Linked DNA regions of Rattus norvegicus. The protein of the gene in region 2 purifies or fractionates together with the protein of the main gene of each other region. This does not show direct contact. Links are inferred from orthologs where the notes say so. Each region holds a gene or a part of one and is shown on either strand. Other genes may lie near its edges.

What was found.
Region 1: the proteins of Clk2 (region 2) and Acin1 purify together in Homo sapiens (affinity purification with mass spectrometry; 3 studies listed by BioGRID and IntAct, counting the BioPlex papers as one, with this or other methods). This does not show direct contact. The link is inferred for Rattus norvegicus from reciprocal best matches to the Homo sapiens genes CLK2 and ACIN1.

The regions. Positions count from the first base shown.
Region 1 is NC_086033.1:32,112,827-32,120,503, reverse strand, and holds the start of Acin1 (apoptotic chromatin condensation inducer in the nucleus), read left to right. Parts: upstream 1-3,499; 5' UTR 3,500-3,536; coding exon 3,537-3,848; intron 3,849-3,889; coding exon of another isoform or gene 3,890-4,284; intron 4,285-4,295; exon of another isoform or gene 4,296-4,434; intron 4,435-5,254; coding exon 5,255-5,320; intron 5,321-7,677. Other genes in the region: C15h14orf119 (uncharacterized protein C14orf119 homolog), read right to left, coding at 1-16, 3,890-4,284.
Region 2 is NC_086020.1:176,872,752-176,879,892, reverse strand, and holds part of Clk2 (dual specificity protein kinase CLK2), read right to left. Parts: coding exon 7,085-7,141; intron 6,422-7,084; coding exon 6,334-6,421; intron 5,986-6,333; coding exon 5,919-5,985; intron 5,647-5,918; coding exon 5,530-5,646; intron 2,958-5,529; coding exon 2,791-2,957; intron 2,172-2,790; coding exon 2,077-2,171; intron 1,425-2,076; coding exon 1,295-1,424; intron 1,287-1,294; exon of another isoform or gene 1,202-1,286; coding exon 1,119-1,201; intron 976-1,118; coding exon 896-975; intron 717-895; coding exon 626-716; intron 8-625; coding exon 1-7. UniProt on the Homo sapiens protein: Dual specificity kinase acting on both serine/threonine and tyrosine-containing substrates. Phosphorylates serine- and arginine-rich (SR) proteins of the spliceosomal complex.

The sequences.
Region 1 (7,677 bases), on a different chromosome or scaffold from region 2:
CGATTCCAGTGGCATCCTGAAACAAACAAAGCTCTGTTAATACACTCTCTGGCAAGCGCAACCAGAACATTACCTTATAAGCAATAAACCCTACTACACCCAATCAGCATCCACCAATTCAATCTGTAGGAAAACAACAGGATCCTTTCTTATGGTAGGACTTCACTACATATGTGCAGCCCCAGACTGACTGGGAATTTGGTCCTCTTGCTTCAGCTTCTTGAATATTACAAATGCACTTAGCTACACCCACAGGTAAGAAGATCCTTTATTTTTATTTCTATACAACTACCTTAGGGAAACCACCCAAGAATAACTTCACTTGGTATTTGCCAGTCTTACTTCCTTTTCAACACCACCATCTAAAAGCCAGGTGTGGTGCTCAGGCCTATAATCTCACCGTGGAGAAAGCCGAGATGAGGGACTGCCAAGAATTCAAGGCCAACTTGGACTACACAGGTACAAAGTAAGTTCCAGGCCAGTCTAGCCTACAGAGTGAGGCCCTATTTCAAAACAATGAAAGAACAAAAAACACAAGCCCGGCATGGTGGCACACATGGCAGAACTGGTGGAGGCAGAAGTACCAAGAGTTAAAAGATCAGCCTTAGTCACATTATGTTCTAGGACAGTCTGAGACTCTTGGTCCAAAAAACAAAAAACAAATACCCTACCTGACCAGTGCTTCTTCCTGCCTTTGTTCCAGCACATTAACTTTTATTTACATTTATTTGATGCTAAATTTATTCACATGCTGGAAGTTTTTGTTGCATCAGTCTCTTCTGGGATGTCCTTTCTTCTTTGTAGCCTCCTCTTTTAGCTCAGGAACAGCTTTTAGTGAGAATCATTTCAATGTGGCAGACAAGCTCACATGTGAGTTTATCTGACTCCAGTTTGGGTGTTTTCCTCTGGATTGTCAGTGACCACAGAATCTATATCAAAACCTGTAAGTTCAGCATTTTCAAGCACGTATAGCAAAACTCCAGCACTCTTCTGAGGCTACCAATCATATGTCTAGACCTACTGCTTGTCGGCACACTTACAAATTCTTTTTTTTTTTTTTTTTTAAAAGATTTATTTATTTTATTTATATAAGTACACTGTAGCTGTTTTCAGACACACCAGAAGAGGGCATTGGATCCCATTACAGATAGTTGTGAGCCACCATGTGATTGCTGGGAATTGAACTCAGGACCTCAGGAAGAGCAGTCAGTGCTCTTAACCACTGAGCCATCTCTCCAGCCCCACAAATTCTACTATTACACTGTCTATACTGCTTCTTTAAAGGGACACCTTTCAGACACTGGGTGGCTTTTTAGGTACACATAGCCTTGATGGCTTGGTAATTTCATAGGTGATCTGAACGCCTTGGTTTGAATGATTTGGGGGCAGAGGTTTCTGCATCAAGAGTAATCATTTTCCCAGGCTACCTTGGGTTTTAGAAAAAAATCTCACAGGCCTCAAATTCAAGATCTTCTGCCTGAGCCTTGAAGATTACAGACATGTCACCTACCCATAAGCCTCTCAGTCTCGTGTAGCCTAGGCTACACTAGTTTCATGAACTGTGAAATGTCACTATACCATTTCTGTGATGCTAGAGACAGAACCTGGCAAACTAAACAAGCACTCTACCAATTGAACTATATCCCCCACCTACTTCTTATAAATGATCTTAAAAACAACCAATTGAGGGGCTAGGAAGACAACTGTTCCAAAGTTAAATTCACTTTCTGCTCTCCAGAGCACTCATGTCAAGTGACTTGAAAGCACCTGTAGCTTCGGCTCCTGAGCTGAACTGTGAACTCCATGAGACAAGCACACACCCGTAGACAGACACACATATACACAAAATAATAAAAACGAACCAGACAGTGGCAGAGCATGCCCTTAATCCCAGCACTCAGGAGGCACGCGCAGGCACATCTCTAGTTCATGGCCAGCCTGGACTGCAGAATGAGTTCTAGGATAGCCAGGGCTACACAGAGAAACCCTATCTTAAAAAAAAAAAAAAAGCAAAAAAACAAAACCCAAACAAATAATAAGGAAAAACAAGCCATTGAGGCCAGCCTGGGAACACAGTAAGAACTGATCACAAACCTAAACAGAAAACACATGTCTTGCTTGTTCTCTCTAAAATTAATGTGCACAGCTTTTTAAATTTTGGTACAAGCGACTAGTCCCAACCTAAATGTTGATTTTTCCACAGTTACATGCACTGTGTGTTGGGAGTGGAGACAAGAGGCAAGAACCTTCTGTTCAAAGTACAAGCAACTGGTCCCAACCTAAATGCTGATTTTCCCACAGTTCCCCACTGTGTGTGTGTGTGGGACGTAGGGGGTGGTCATGAGACAAGAACCTACTGTACAGTGTATGAACCACCTCTGAAACCTGTAAAAAATGTTTATGTTCTATGACCCCCTTATTAAATTCTCTACCACACTAGTAAATTTTGGAGCAGGCTAGGTAAAGTTCTTGTCTCAAGGTAAGGTAAGGGTTAGAAAATCAGAAGCCACTTTATTAAAGTTCTGAAGAAAGTCCTTTTGCTTCTTTCTTGACTTAGGTAACCTAAAAAGTGTGATACGGATGCACACGTGTCTCTCAACAGTTTTCCTTAAAGCTTTATGCCTACAAGTACCACTCATTTTGCATCATGGATGCAAGTGTCAGCCAACTTATTCCAAAATACTTTAGTCCTACAGTTTGTATCTCCAACAAGGAAAACCTTCAACTCTCTAGGACCTAAATTTCTACCTGTTCTTACTTCTCCGAGTTGGAAAATTTGTATCCATGAAGAAAAGAATACCTAAACGTCAGTTCTAAGTCCCGGTTCAGGGTGACTGCCAGTTTCAAAGTGGCCCTACAGGGAGAAGTTTCTCCTAAAACTTCTCTTTTTCAGAGAAAGGGAATTATTTACCCAGGCTTTTTTACATTTACATGGCTTCCACTGTAAACTTAAATTCGATGTCATTAATAAATTTGCTGTCTGAGATCAAAGACACAATGCTACTTTTTCCCACGTTTGGAAGCAGCAGGTCTCTTATTCCTTAGCCACACAGGACAAAGCATTTCTTAGACCGAGTGGCTGGGATATAGAGGATGGGGACCACAGAGATTTCGCCAGGAAGCAGAAGGGTTCCCCAAAAGAAAACATTCAGACACCAAGTCTTATCCGGCCTAGGAGAAATTTCTTTTCCTCTTACCTCCCTTTTCCCCTTGGAGGGCGCCCAGAGATCACAAGAGTGCTTCAGCTCCTGCTCCAATTCCCCGAGTCTCTTCCATGTTTCCGGAAAACCCTAAGTACAGCCAGCCCCAGTAACCCACGCACTTCCGGTCCGGAACCAGCCCCAAGTACCCAAGTGCCCCAGCGCCTCAGCCCTCAAGTCCGGAGATAGCCGAATATCTCCGATTATGGGTATGCCAGATTCGAGGGCTTCCGAATAGATTCGATTCAAAGCCTCGGCAAGACGAAAACAAACGAACCTGAAAGTAAAATGGGAGGAGCCGGCCGCTAGGCAGATGGAAAAAGCCGATTGGTACCGATGTGGAGACGGAAACGACCGAACAGTTCCGGAGGAACCCGGGGAATTCTGAGCGGTAATAGAGGGGTAGACTATGGCAGTGGGCGGGGCCAGTTCGGTACGTTCGAAGGGCGTTGGCGGAAATTACCGAAGATGCCCGAAGCCGTCGGGACGGACCCGAGTACCTCACGCAAGATGGCGGAGCTGGAGGAGGTGACTCTGGACGGGAAGCCTCTTCAGGCTCTGCGGGTGACCGACCTGAAGGCCGCACTGGAGCAGCGAGGCCTAGCCAAGAGCGGGCAGAAGAGTGCCCTGGTCAAGCGGCTCAAAGGGGTGAGAAGTCAGCGTTGCCGAGGTGTCGGAGGGGAGCGGACCTGGTAGAGACGAGTCTCCGCTGCGGCGCAGGCGCAGTGTCCGGGCTCGGCGCGAGCTCTCTCAGGCCGCCAGCGCGAGCCTGCAGATCCACGCGCACGGTGGTTGGTGTGGCTGGCGCTGGAATAGAGATAACGCCGGTTCCCGCCTTAACGGCAGCAGCGCGAGCCCAAAATGGGAGGGTGCGCGCTACTCTCCCGGAGTGTCTTAAGCTCCTTCCTTCTTCCCCCACCCCCTCCTTGTTTGTGTCTGTGTTTTCGGCGCATGCGCTGCAGAAGGAGTTAAATCCCTCTACAACCACCGGTGTGGCTGGCCTTAAGGGGGCGAGCAGGGCTGTGTCCGAGTTAGGGATACAGTTGGGCGGATGGGGTTGGTGTCTGTGTCTGCAGTAGTACATTTTGGATAGGGTAAAAAATGTCCGCTTGACTAGATTAAAACCTTAGATGAAGGAAAACCTTGATAGAAGGACTTGTCAGAGACGGGTGTCTAATTTATAGGGAATCGAGAAACAGTCTGGATAAGAATTTGGTGAATATTGGTGCGAGAGGTGAGACAGATTACTTTAGGCTGGGGATTTTGTATCGGTTTGAGCAGTGAGAATGAGCTTGTTGTCGTGAGGTATACATACTGTGTATTGGTTTGGTGTAAATGGAGGGAAGGAAGGTGAGAAGGACTAGTGTAATTTGAGTTCATTAGGGTACGTGGCTCATAATACTGATAGGGACTCGGTCAGTTCAGGCTTTGAGTTGACAGACCGTTGCTTATCCCGAAGCTGACAGTTTGTGGGTGGGTGTGGATTAGGTCAGACCACAGGTTACAAGGTCTGTGGTTAGTTTCTCGGTGAAGTTTTTAGTACATTTGATTTGTCTGGGTGTCAACACTGATGGAAATTGTGCAGGTTCATTTAAGTAGTTTTAGTTCTGAAAATCAAATAATAGTCAAATCTAAATTAGCAGCCTAGTGTTGGTTTCATGTAATTTGAAACTTGTTTGAGTACTTGTAATTTTTTTTGCCTGTATTACCAGATTTAAAAGTGGCTCCTAGTCAAAATTACAGACAATAACAGGGGTTCTAGTTCTGATTCTGCCACTTTTGCTGATTTTTTTGTGACATAGCCAGGTCACTGATTCTTTGTGTGCCTGTATTTTACATCCGTATACTTGGGAGCAGTAACCATGGCTACCTTTAAGCGACTTATGAAGATGAATGAGAACAATATTAATAAAGCGCTTTTAGGCTCTGTGAAAGGAATGTAGTATAAATGTATATTTAAGTAATTTAGTGAAAAGGCTGTGGGAGAGGTAGAGATCTGGAGTGCTTTTTTGTTCCCCCTCCTGGTTTCTGATTTTTGCTCTTCTTTATACCAGGCTCTAATGCTAGAAAATTTACAAAAACACTCAACACCCCATGCTGCATTCCAGCCAAATTCTCAGGTAAGAAAAAAGGTTTGTTTAGATAGAATGGGCTATTTGGAGAAAATGGTAAATGGGAAGACTTGGTGTCTTCCATGTTTATCAGAAACAGAATTTTCTTGTTTTTTTATTGCAAGTGATCTCAGTTACTGGGTTTTTGTTTTGTTTGTTTTTGTTTTGTTTTTTTAAGGTCTGTTTTTATTTTATGTGTGTGGGTGATTTGCCTCCAACGGGTGCCCACAGAGGCCAGGAGAGAATGTCAGATCCTCTGCAACTGGAGTTACAGACAGCTGTGAGCCACCATGTGGGTGCTGAATCGAACCTGGGTCCTCTATAAACGCAGCCAGTGTCTTAACCATTGAGCTATCTCTCCAGCCCTCAGACAGTTGAATTCTAATCACCCTCAATTTTGCATAAAGACCTGGAGTTTTAAAAAAAAGAAAAGAAAAAAATATATATATATAAATAAAATCAAAGGAGCACTGAATGAATTTTGAATTCTTGGAGTGTGTCAAAAGTATCACTCTGGGGGTTGGGGATTTAGCTCAGTGGTAGAGCGCTTGCCTAGGAAGCGCAAGGCCCTGGGTTCGGTCCCCAGCTCCGAAAAAAAGAACCAAAAAAAAAAAAAAAGTATCACTCTGATTAAGTGTGCCACAAGAATCTGAAGTCACTTGCCATCAGCTTAGGGGAAAGTTATCTTTGAATATAGATCTTTGAATATAGATGTAACAAAATACTTTTTCATCAAGAACTCTTTTATTGGTACAAATTTACTTTAAAGAATTTGATACTGTATTAATAAACCCTTATTTCTAGGACTAACTCTTAAACATCCTTAAAACCTTGATGACTTAGGACAAGGTACTTAACACTTAGAGACCTTTGTTTCTTTACCCGAAATAGGAAAAGTAGTTTGACTTAGTTCATGGTTTTATAACTGCTCTGCTGGGGTGTCTTAGGGGAAAAAACTTTGTTCTAAGAGTTCCTGCATAAACGTTTTTGTGGTTGTTGTTGTGGGTTGAAACAGGGTGTTTATGTTGCCTGCTCAGACTCAGGGCAGTCCCTCTACCCAGCTTCCCTACTGCTCTACCCTCCAGGTTTCTGCAAATATTTTATTTTGAAGACACTGTATAGTTAAAAACAAAATACAAATTTCTACACTATGTCATCTTGTAGGGTACTCTTCAGCTTTTAAACTCTTCATTTAATGTGTCACCCACTTAAAAGAAAATGCAGTGGTGTGTGGGCCCAGGACACTGGAAAATGTGCTTTTCTGTTCCCTTGCTAATACCTCATTAAACTCCAAGGCCCATCATCTAGTCAGCTTTGGGAGGTTACACAGCATTAAAGAGCTACCTAAAAGGCTGGAGAGATAGCTCAGTAGTCAAGAGTGCCTGACTGTTGCCCAGTGATTCACACCAGAGCTCAAGATCTCAGCACCTATATCAGGCGGCTCACAAACATCTGTAGCTCCAGTGCCAAAGTCCCGTCCTGCTTCCAGGAACATGGCTGAGCACACAAACACATGTATATACTCACAGATACATGTAAACACACAGATAAATGAAGCTGAGAAGATGACTCAGTCATTAAGAATACTTGTTTTTATAGAGTTTGCTCTTAATAGAGGACCCAGGTTTTGTTCCCAGTGCCCACCTGGTGGCTCACAGACATCCATAACTCAAGTTCCAGGGTATCCTATATCCTCTTCTGCTTTGGACATCAAGCACACACATTTCTATGCAGTTAAAACATTCATGCCATGTAATAATAATCTTTAAAAAGCAATTCAGAAAACTGATTGAAATTCTCAATTCACAATTGTATCTTGGATTGTATTTTAGACTTTGAAGTTTTACTTGTGTTAACAAAGGTTTTGCGGCAAATACACTTGTTTTCTCATACTTAAAATGCACATTTCATCTGTGGCCATTGGGTACTAAGGCACTTACTATAAGTGAAATAAGTATTTACTGTTAGAGAGTATGACAGAAAACACAGGAAGTATTGGATTGACTTTGTTTCTGAAGGTCTATAGGCATGTAAGGACTTGAGGAGGAGAGTTTGTGAAGAGAAAGCAGAAGGACAAAGAATGATGTGTGCACGCCACAGAAAGAGAGACAGGGTTAACCCTGGGCTGGTTGCTTGGCTGGCTTGCTTTTTGAAGATTTTTTTGGCAGTGTTATTTTTGAAAACAGAGTTTCTCTGCATAGCCCTGGCTGCCCTGGAATTCCTGCCTCGGATTAAGGGCACGGGCCATAACACCTGGCATGCTGGAGGGGTTCTTTTCACTCAAAAAAAAAAAACAAACAAACAAACAAACAAAACTGTTGGTTGGTTGGCTGGTTTGGAGTTTTTGAGGACTTAATGGTGTATGT
Region 2 (7,141 bases):
GATACCGCTGGTGGAGGGCAGGAAGAAGGTAAGGCAGGACGCCTTACAAAGTTATCTTTATTTCCTTCTCAAGACAGGGTCTCGCTGTGCAGCCCAGCTGTTCTGGAACTATGCACTGCAGCTGACTTGGAACACCCACCTCAGATTCCCAAGTGCTGGGATTTCAGGCCTGTGCCACCATACAAGTCTCAGCTTCCTTTAAAGCTCCGTTTGCATGCAATTTGAAAGCTACTTTATCGCAACATTATGGCCATTTCTGATATTACAGCTCAACCTACCTTTCCACAATTATTCCTTCTTTTTCTAAATTTTACTTGTATAGACTTTTCAACCTCATGAATCTTCCTTAGCTCCACATTAAAATTTAAGCTTTTCAAAGGTAGTTTATTTTTTTCTGTCCTTAAGAAACCAGGCCATTGCTTCATCTGGCTGTCTCTATGTGACACTACCTAACCTCGGCTCTGTGAATCCTCTCTGCTGTCCGCTGTTGATCAAACTGTCTTCTTTCAATGTTTCTCCCCCTCCTGCCCTAACCTCCACTTACAAAATGCATTCCAGGGGCAAACCACCCTAAGAAAGAACAACCTTTAGATCGTGGACAGTATTTCTCCCTGGCCAGGCTCACCCGTAGTGGTTTGCAGTTCTCACGGACGTAGCGCCCAGCTGAGGTGTTCTCATCCCAATCCAGGCGACCCCGATAAAAATATTTCTGTTTTCTAAAGGGGAAGGGGAGGTTGGTGCATCAGAAGGTTCCACTTTGATAATATCTGTTCCCTTGTTTACCCAAGTGAAAGTAAGTAGGAGCTAGGGAGGTATCAATGGAAAAAAGAAAGTGGCGTGTGACAGACAAATTCCGAGGGAAGAAGAGCTCAAGTGCCTCCTGCTCAAGCGTCACCTTGTCTTTCTGATCATCCGAGAGGGGACAGGACCCAGGATCCTTTCCATCATGGCTAGATGCTCTCTGTTGTCATGGGTCTGAGAAACAAAGACAGAGCTGAGTGTAGGACTCATCAAGGCCCCCTGGGGACCAGTTGCCAGATGGACAGTGTGGAGTACTGAGCAGGCATGGCCTCTGCAGATCAGGAAATCCAGCAGCCCAGTATTATCCCACCACTTACCTGGAAGAGGGTGAAGCCGACGTAGTACTCGAAGATGATACAGCCTATGCTCCACACGTCGCACGGCTGTGACCAGCCCAACTCTGTGCAGTGAGGGGGAGGGAGAGGTAGTGTGATGCCTAGGATACGCCCCCTCCTCACACCACTGCACACTGGGCAGTCCTGAGCTCCCTTACCCAGGATGACTTCTGGGGCTCGGTAATGGCGAGTGGAGACAATGGTGCTATGGTGCTCATGGTCAAAGGTGGCACTGCCGAAGTCCACCACCCGCACAGCTGTGCTCTTCACACTGCGTTCATCTCGTTTCTAGGAGCCAAGCAGACGGGAATGAATCTCCTCATAACTGACACTCAGAGACTAAGCTGCTTCAGAGTCTGACAAATATAGCCTGTTCCCATCTACCAAGGAAAATTAGGCTCCGAGTACTTGGTTGTTTAAAAGAGGATTTCATTATGTATCCCAGGCAGGCTTTCAACCTGCAGCAATTCTACCTCAGAGCCTCCCAAGTGCTGGGATACAGGCATATGCCACCACAGCTAGCTCTCACAGTAGTGCTGTAAGAGCAGGAAAGGAAGACTAAGAAATGATACAGAATAGTGTGGAAGCCTCTACCAGACGACTAGAGCCAAGTGTCTGGGGTGCTATTCTGAAAATCTGTACTGTGTAGCAAAGGGTGAAGAGGATCTTTGGAGCTGAGACCTCCAGCAGTCAAGCAATTGGGAGTTTTCCTACCACACAGAAATGCACATCTCACAAATGGAGTGTGAACATTTCCCAAATTATCTTTCAAGTCCTGTTAAATTGCTCCCTTTTGACTTATCACCGCGGCTCACTGGTTTCCCAGCTGGAGCCAGACAGGGAGAAATTAGTAAAGGGGAGAACAACAAAGAACTAACCAAACGCCAAGTGGCCCATTTGTCTGCCCCTCTGGACAGAGGGTAGCCGCTGTCCATCTTACCTTCTCTAGATTGTAGGTGAGTTCGTAGTCTGAATTCACAAACAGAATATTTTCAGGTTTGAGGTCCGTATGTGTCAACTTGTTATCATGGAGGACTGCGGGGAAAAGGCTAGATCAGGCTTGATCCAGGTGGCTAGTACTAATTGCCAGCAGTTGACCCCTTATTGAGTGCTAAGGACAAAGCTAGTCAGGAGGCAGGCCCAGACTCTACTGGGGCTGCTTTCTGCTCTCCAATCAAATAAAATGGCTGGCCTAACCTCTACCCTTAATAATATAAAATGCACACATGGTTCATCGGATAGAAAAGCAGCAGTGTGCCACAGGTGGGAGTTTTTGTTTGGTCTTATGATTGATCTATGTGACTGCCTAACATTTTTAAAACTGCATCACTGTGCCGATGCAGAGGACCTACTCTAAATTCTAAAGCTGGTGCCCCAGCTGAATGATCTGGTGTTTTCCCAACTGCTTTGTGAAGAGCACCTCATTAGACAAACCTAAGACTAGAGTTTTTAGAGTACGAGTACTTCTGTGTTTGTTGTACAGCACTTCTCCAAAGCAGAAGGGATGAGGAAAAGACACTAAGTGCTGTCAGTGATGGTAACAGGTGTGTGAGTGAACTGACTGCTTAGGGCCATGCCTAGCACACAAGTACACAAAAGAGGTCTGAAGGAGGGAAGGGCTGCCCCAGAGTTCGCCTCAGCCCACCCCACTCACACTTGACGGCCTGGCAGAGCTGGAAGGCCATGTGGCGCACTTGGTGGATGGGGTAGGGCAGGTAGTTGTTGTCTTTGAGGAAATCGAAGGTGCTAAGGCCCAGAAGCTCAAAGGAGATACACATGTGGCCATGGTAGTCAAACCAGTCAAACATCTGGACACAGAGGCTGGGGAGAGATAGGGGGAGTTGGATGTCTAATAAGTTCCCAAATCCCGTCACCCCACCAAAAGGAAAGACAGAACGGCTGTTGATTCAACAGTTGTATAAAAGCATGCTAGCTAATATGACTAATTAAGGTTAGGAATGTAGTTCAGTTGGTAGAGTGCCTACTTAGCATGCAGAAGGCCCAAGTTCAATCTGCAGCTTTCCTCATAACAACTATGATGGCATGAACCTTAATCTCAGCATTTGGGAGGTGGAGGCAGAAGAATCCTAAGTTTAAGATTATCTTCAACTACACAGTAAGTCTGAAGAAGTTAGCCTGGGTTACATGATACCCTGGCACTTAAAAAAACAAAATACCCCCCAAAAAACAATTAAGATTGTCAACAAAATTCAGGTAATCTAGAGAATGACAAAAAGGAAGAACCAATGAACCTGCCAAACTCTCCCCAACATATTTTTGTAACATCCTGAATCGTTCAAACCTACTCCCTATAACAGGGGTTGTAACTCAGGAATACAGCACCTCCCTGGCATGTAAGAGGCCATGTTCTTATCTCAGCCCTCAAAACAAGGAAAACAAACTCCACTTGTCAGACAGAGGAGGGTGGTATCTGCAATCAGGGCACGCAGGAAACTAGAAGCAGGAGGTTCACCATGAATTTGAAGTCAGTTTAGGTTATGTAATATGTTCCTGTCTCAAATAAATTAAAAAAAAAAAAATCCCAAAACAACTATTTGCTCAAGAGTTATAGCATGAAATTCTAAACAATATGGATTCTCAGTTACCAAAGTTATTTTTGTTGTCTGGGTTTCACTCAAGCACAGTCTGACCTGGAACTTCCTATGTCCTGGCCACATCCTGGTCTCAAATTCATGAGCCATTACATTCCGGCCCCATCTCCTGAACTTTAGTATCAGCCACTGTGGCGAAGTTTATACTTCACTGTTTTGTTAAATCTTATTTGGGCTAGGGATGTGGCTCAGTTGGTAAAGTATTTGTCTAAAGTTTAATACCTGGTACCACATAAAACTAGGTAAATTTCTATAATTGTAGGTGGAGGCAAGAGTTCAAGGTTATCCTTGCCTTTGGCTACAAGAATGAGCAGAAGCTAGCCTTAGCTAAATGAGGTACTGCCTCAAAACCAACAAACAACCTTCGCCGTCACAATCTTACAATTTTAGCAGATGAATAGCATGAGATCAAAACTGTAACTGTAGAAACACCCACAGTTCTAGAGCCTGGTACTCCTCTTCACTTAGAACCAAGTTCTGGTGCATTCCAGGCCAGTGTTCTACTACTACCAATTCCATGATTTCTTTCAAAGACTTTATTTTTAATTATGTGAGTTAGTTATTGCACGTGACTGCACATTTCTGAAGAGGACAGAGGTGCTGGATCTTCTGGAGCTATTTTTTTGTTTTGCTTTTTAAAGATTTATTTATTTATATATAAATCTTTAAACTAGTGTGTGTGTGTACACTGTAGCTGTCTTCAGACACACCAGAAGAGGGCATCAGATCCCATTACAGATGGTTGTGAGCCACCATGTGGTGGCTGGGAATTGAACTCAGGACCTCTGGAAGAGCAGTCAGTGCTCTTAACTGCTGAGCCATCTCTCCAGACTCCCCCCCTCCCCCTTCTGATGTTCTTTCTTTCTTTCTTTCTTTCTTTCTTTCTTTCTTTCTTTCTTTCTTTCTTCCTTCCTTCCTTCCTTCCTTCCTTCCTTTCTTTCTTTTTCTTCCACTTCTAGACAGGGTTTCTCTGCAAAGCTCTGGCTGTCCTGGAACTTACTCTGCAGACCAGGTTGTCTTCAAAGTCAGAGATCTGCCTACCCCTGCCTTTGAGTGCTGAGATTAAAGGCAAGCACAAGCAGTGCCAGGCTTTCCTAGAGCTATTTTGAACTTCTATGTGGATGCTGGGAACTAAACTCAGGTCTTATCCTATCATTCCTAACTGCTGAGCAATCTCTCCCCTCATCTCAAATTTCTGATTCTCCTGCTTCATTCCTGAACGAACTGTGGCTCTGTGTATTTGACTGGGGTTTGAACTTAGGACCCTGTGAGAGTTGGTTGGTGCTCCATCCATGGGTCACAATCTCTAGAACCATTTCCAGTGGTCAGAAAATGTCTTACGGAAATTTACATTGTCCAGGCTGTAATCCTTCCAATCTGCCTTTCCTCTTCTTCTGAATGGCTGGAATGACAGGCATGCACCATCTAGAGTGATGCCCACCAATGCCAGGGTCATTCTCAGATTGCTGATATCGTCGTAATACAAACAGGAGTAGATAGACTGTCATAGGACTATCTTAATGCTTTGCTACTCTCATGATCCAAAGTTTAACGGGCTGGATGTGGCACATGCCTTTCCTCTCAGCTCTCAGGAGGCAGTGGCACGAGGATCTCTGTGAGTTCGAGGACAGCCTGCTCTACAAGCAGTTTCTAGGCCAGCAAGGGCTACACAGAGAAAAGCATGCCTAAGAATAAGACAGACAGACAAGACTGGATGTACTCGCCGCCCGCCCGCATAGCCCCAGTAAAGCCTTCCTTGTGGAGAGAGCCCCTCGGCTTACTTCTTGTTGTCAGGATCTTTCTCATTGATTTTCTCCAGCACGTTGATTTCTAGTCGAGCGGCCTCCTTGTACTTCTCCACATTCTTAATGATCTTCAGGGCAACTCGTGCTCCGCCCCTGTAGGGCAACAGGTTTTCATTGGGTTCAAGAACATCTCAGAGGGGTTGGGGATTTAGCTCAGTGGTAGAGCGCTTGCCTAGGAAGCGCAAGGCCCTGGGTTCGGTCCCCAGCTCCGGAAAAAAAAAAAAAAAAAAAAAATCTCAGGTTGAATGCATCAGTGACTAAAGCATCAGACTGAGAACTTCTGCCTGTTTAATCTGTAAACAGATCCGATTCCTCACAATCTTCTAAGCTTAACAGAGGAGGAGTAAGCGGCGGGCCATAGTTACCTGCGATGGTCCACACACTGTACAACTCGGCCAAAGGTCCCTTCTCCTAAGGTGCTTACAATTTCATCTGAAACGAAAGAAAGCAGGGTCGGGGAGAGGGAGGGAGAAAAGGGGGGAATGAGATGAACTGGAAGAAAATAGGGCACAGCAACCTGGGGTGAGGAGATGAAGGAAGGGGGAACAGATATAGATGGCTGCAGGGGAAGAAACCCCTGTGTGACTCCCACCACCTTTAACCCAGGGGCCATGAGAGTTGGGAGTGGACAACAGGTCAGTTCTCAACAGCAACTCAAACCACCCAGATGAGCAACACCACTGAGAAAGGCACAAGAGGCTGTGACCTGGGTTGGCATGGGACATTAGGATGGCTATGGGACCATTACAGGCTATAGGATTGTTACGATTTGGCTTGTACATCGCTCTTGTAGCCAGTCCCCGACGTGGTAGATGAGGTGGCCCTCAGCGTCGTCCTCTACACTCTTGGCTCTCCGGCTGCTGTGCTGCTGTCGGGGGGTGGGGGGGGTCGGAGCAAGCCAGGTGTCGGATCGGGGGCCGGAGGGAGACGGGGTGGGTGGTGTAGGGGTCACCGGTCACAGGCGCCCAGCCAGGGGGGACAGACGATGATGGGGGACAGTGGAAGGGAACACGTCAGATGTGCTAAGGCGGAGCGGTGTGAGAAGAGAGAGCGGCGCATAATCCCAAGTCCCCAAACCCAAATCAGGACAGGGAAAGGCACGGGCAGAGCAGGAAAGTGATGATGTTGCCAGTGTTACCCACAACCCCATGCTCTACGAAGCACACTTCTAGGCAGACGCAGTATTCCCTTGACCCCCAACCCAAAATTGCCTGCTGAGGGGCCACAGAGTCCAGGGCTTGGGAGACAGAGATCTTTCAAAACCAAGATCCTCATAAAAAAAGAGGCATCGGGGCAGAGGAGCTGCTCCCGACAAGCCCAACATATTCAACATAACACCGAGGGCATAAAGGATGTTTGACCTTCTATCTCCAAAGTAGATTTGGGGCCCCTCAAGAGTGAGAGAGGGCAGGCATATTTAGTGCCTACGTCAATGTTCATGCTTCAAAGCATGACTGAGAGCAAGGGGGCATTTTTTTTCTGAGGGACTGAAGAAGAATGGGGAGAGCAAAAGGCTTGGGCTGACACTCACTGAAGATGAGTGGCTGAATGTTCTGCTACGTCTTCTCCGCCGTCTGGGTTTCCGGCG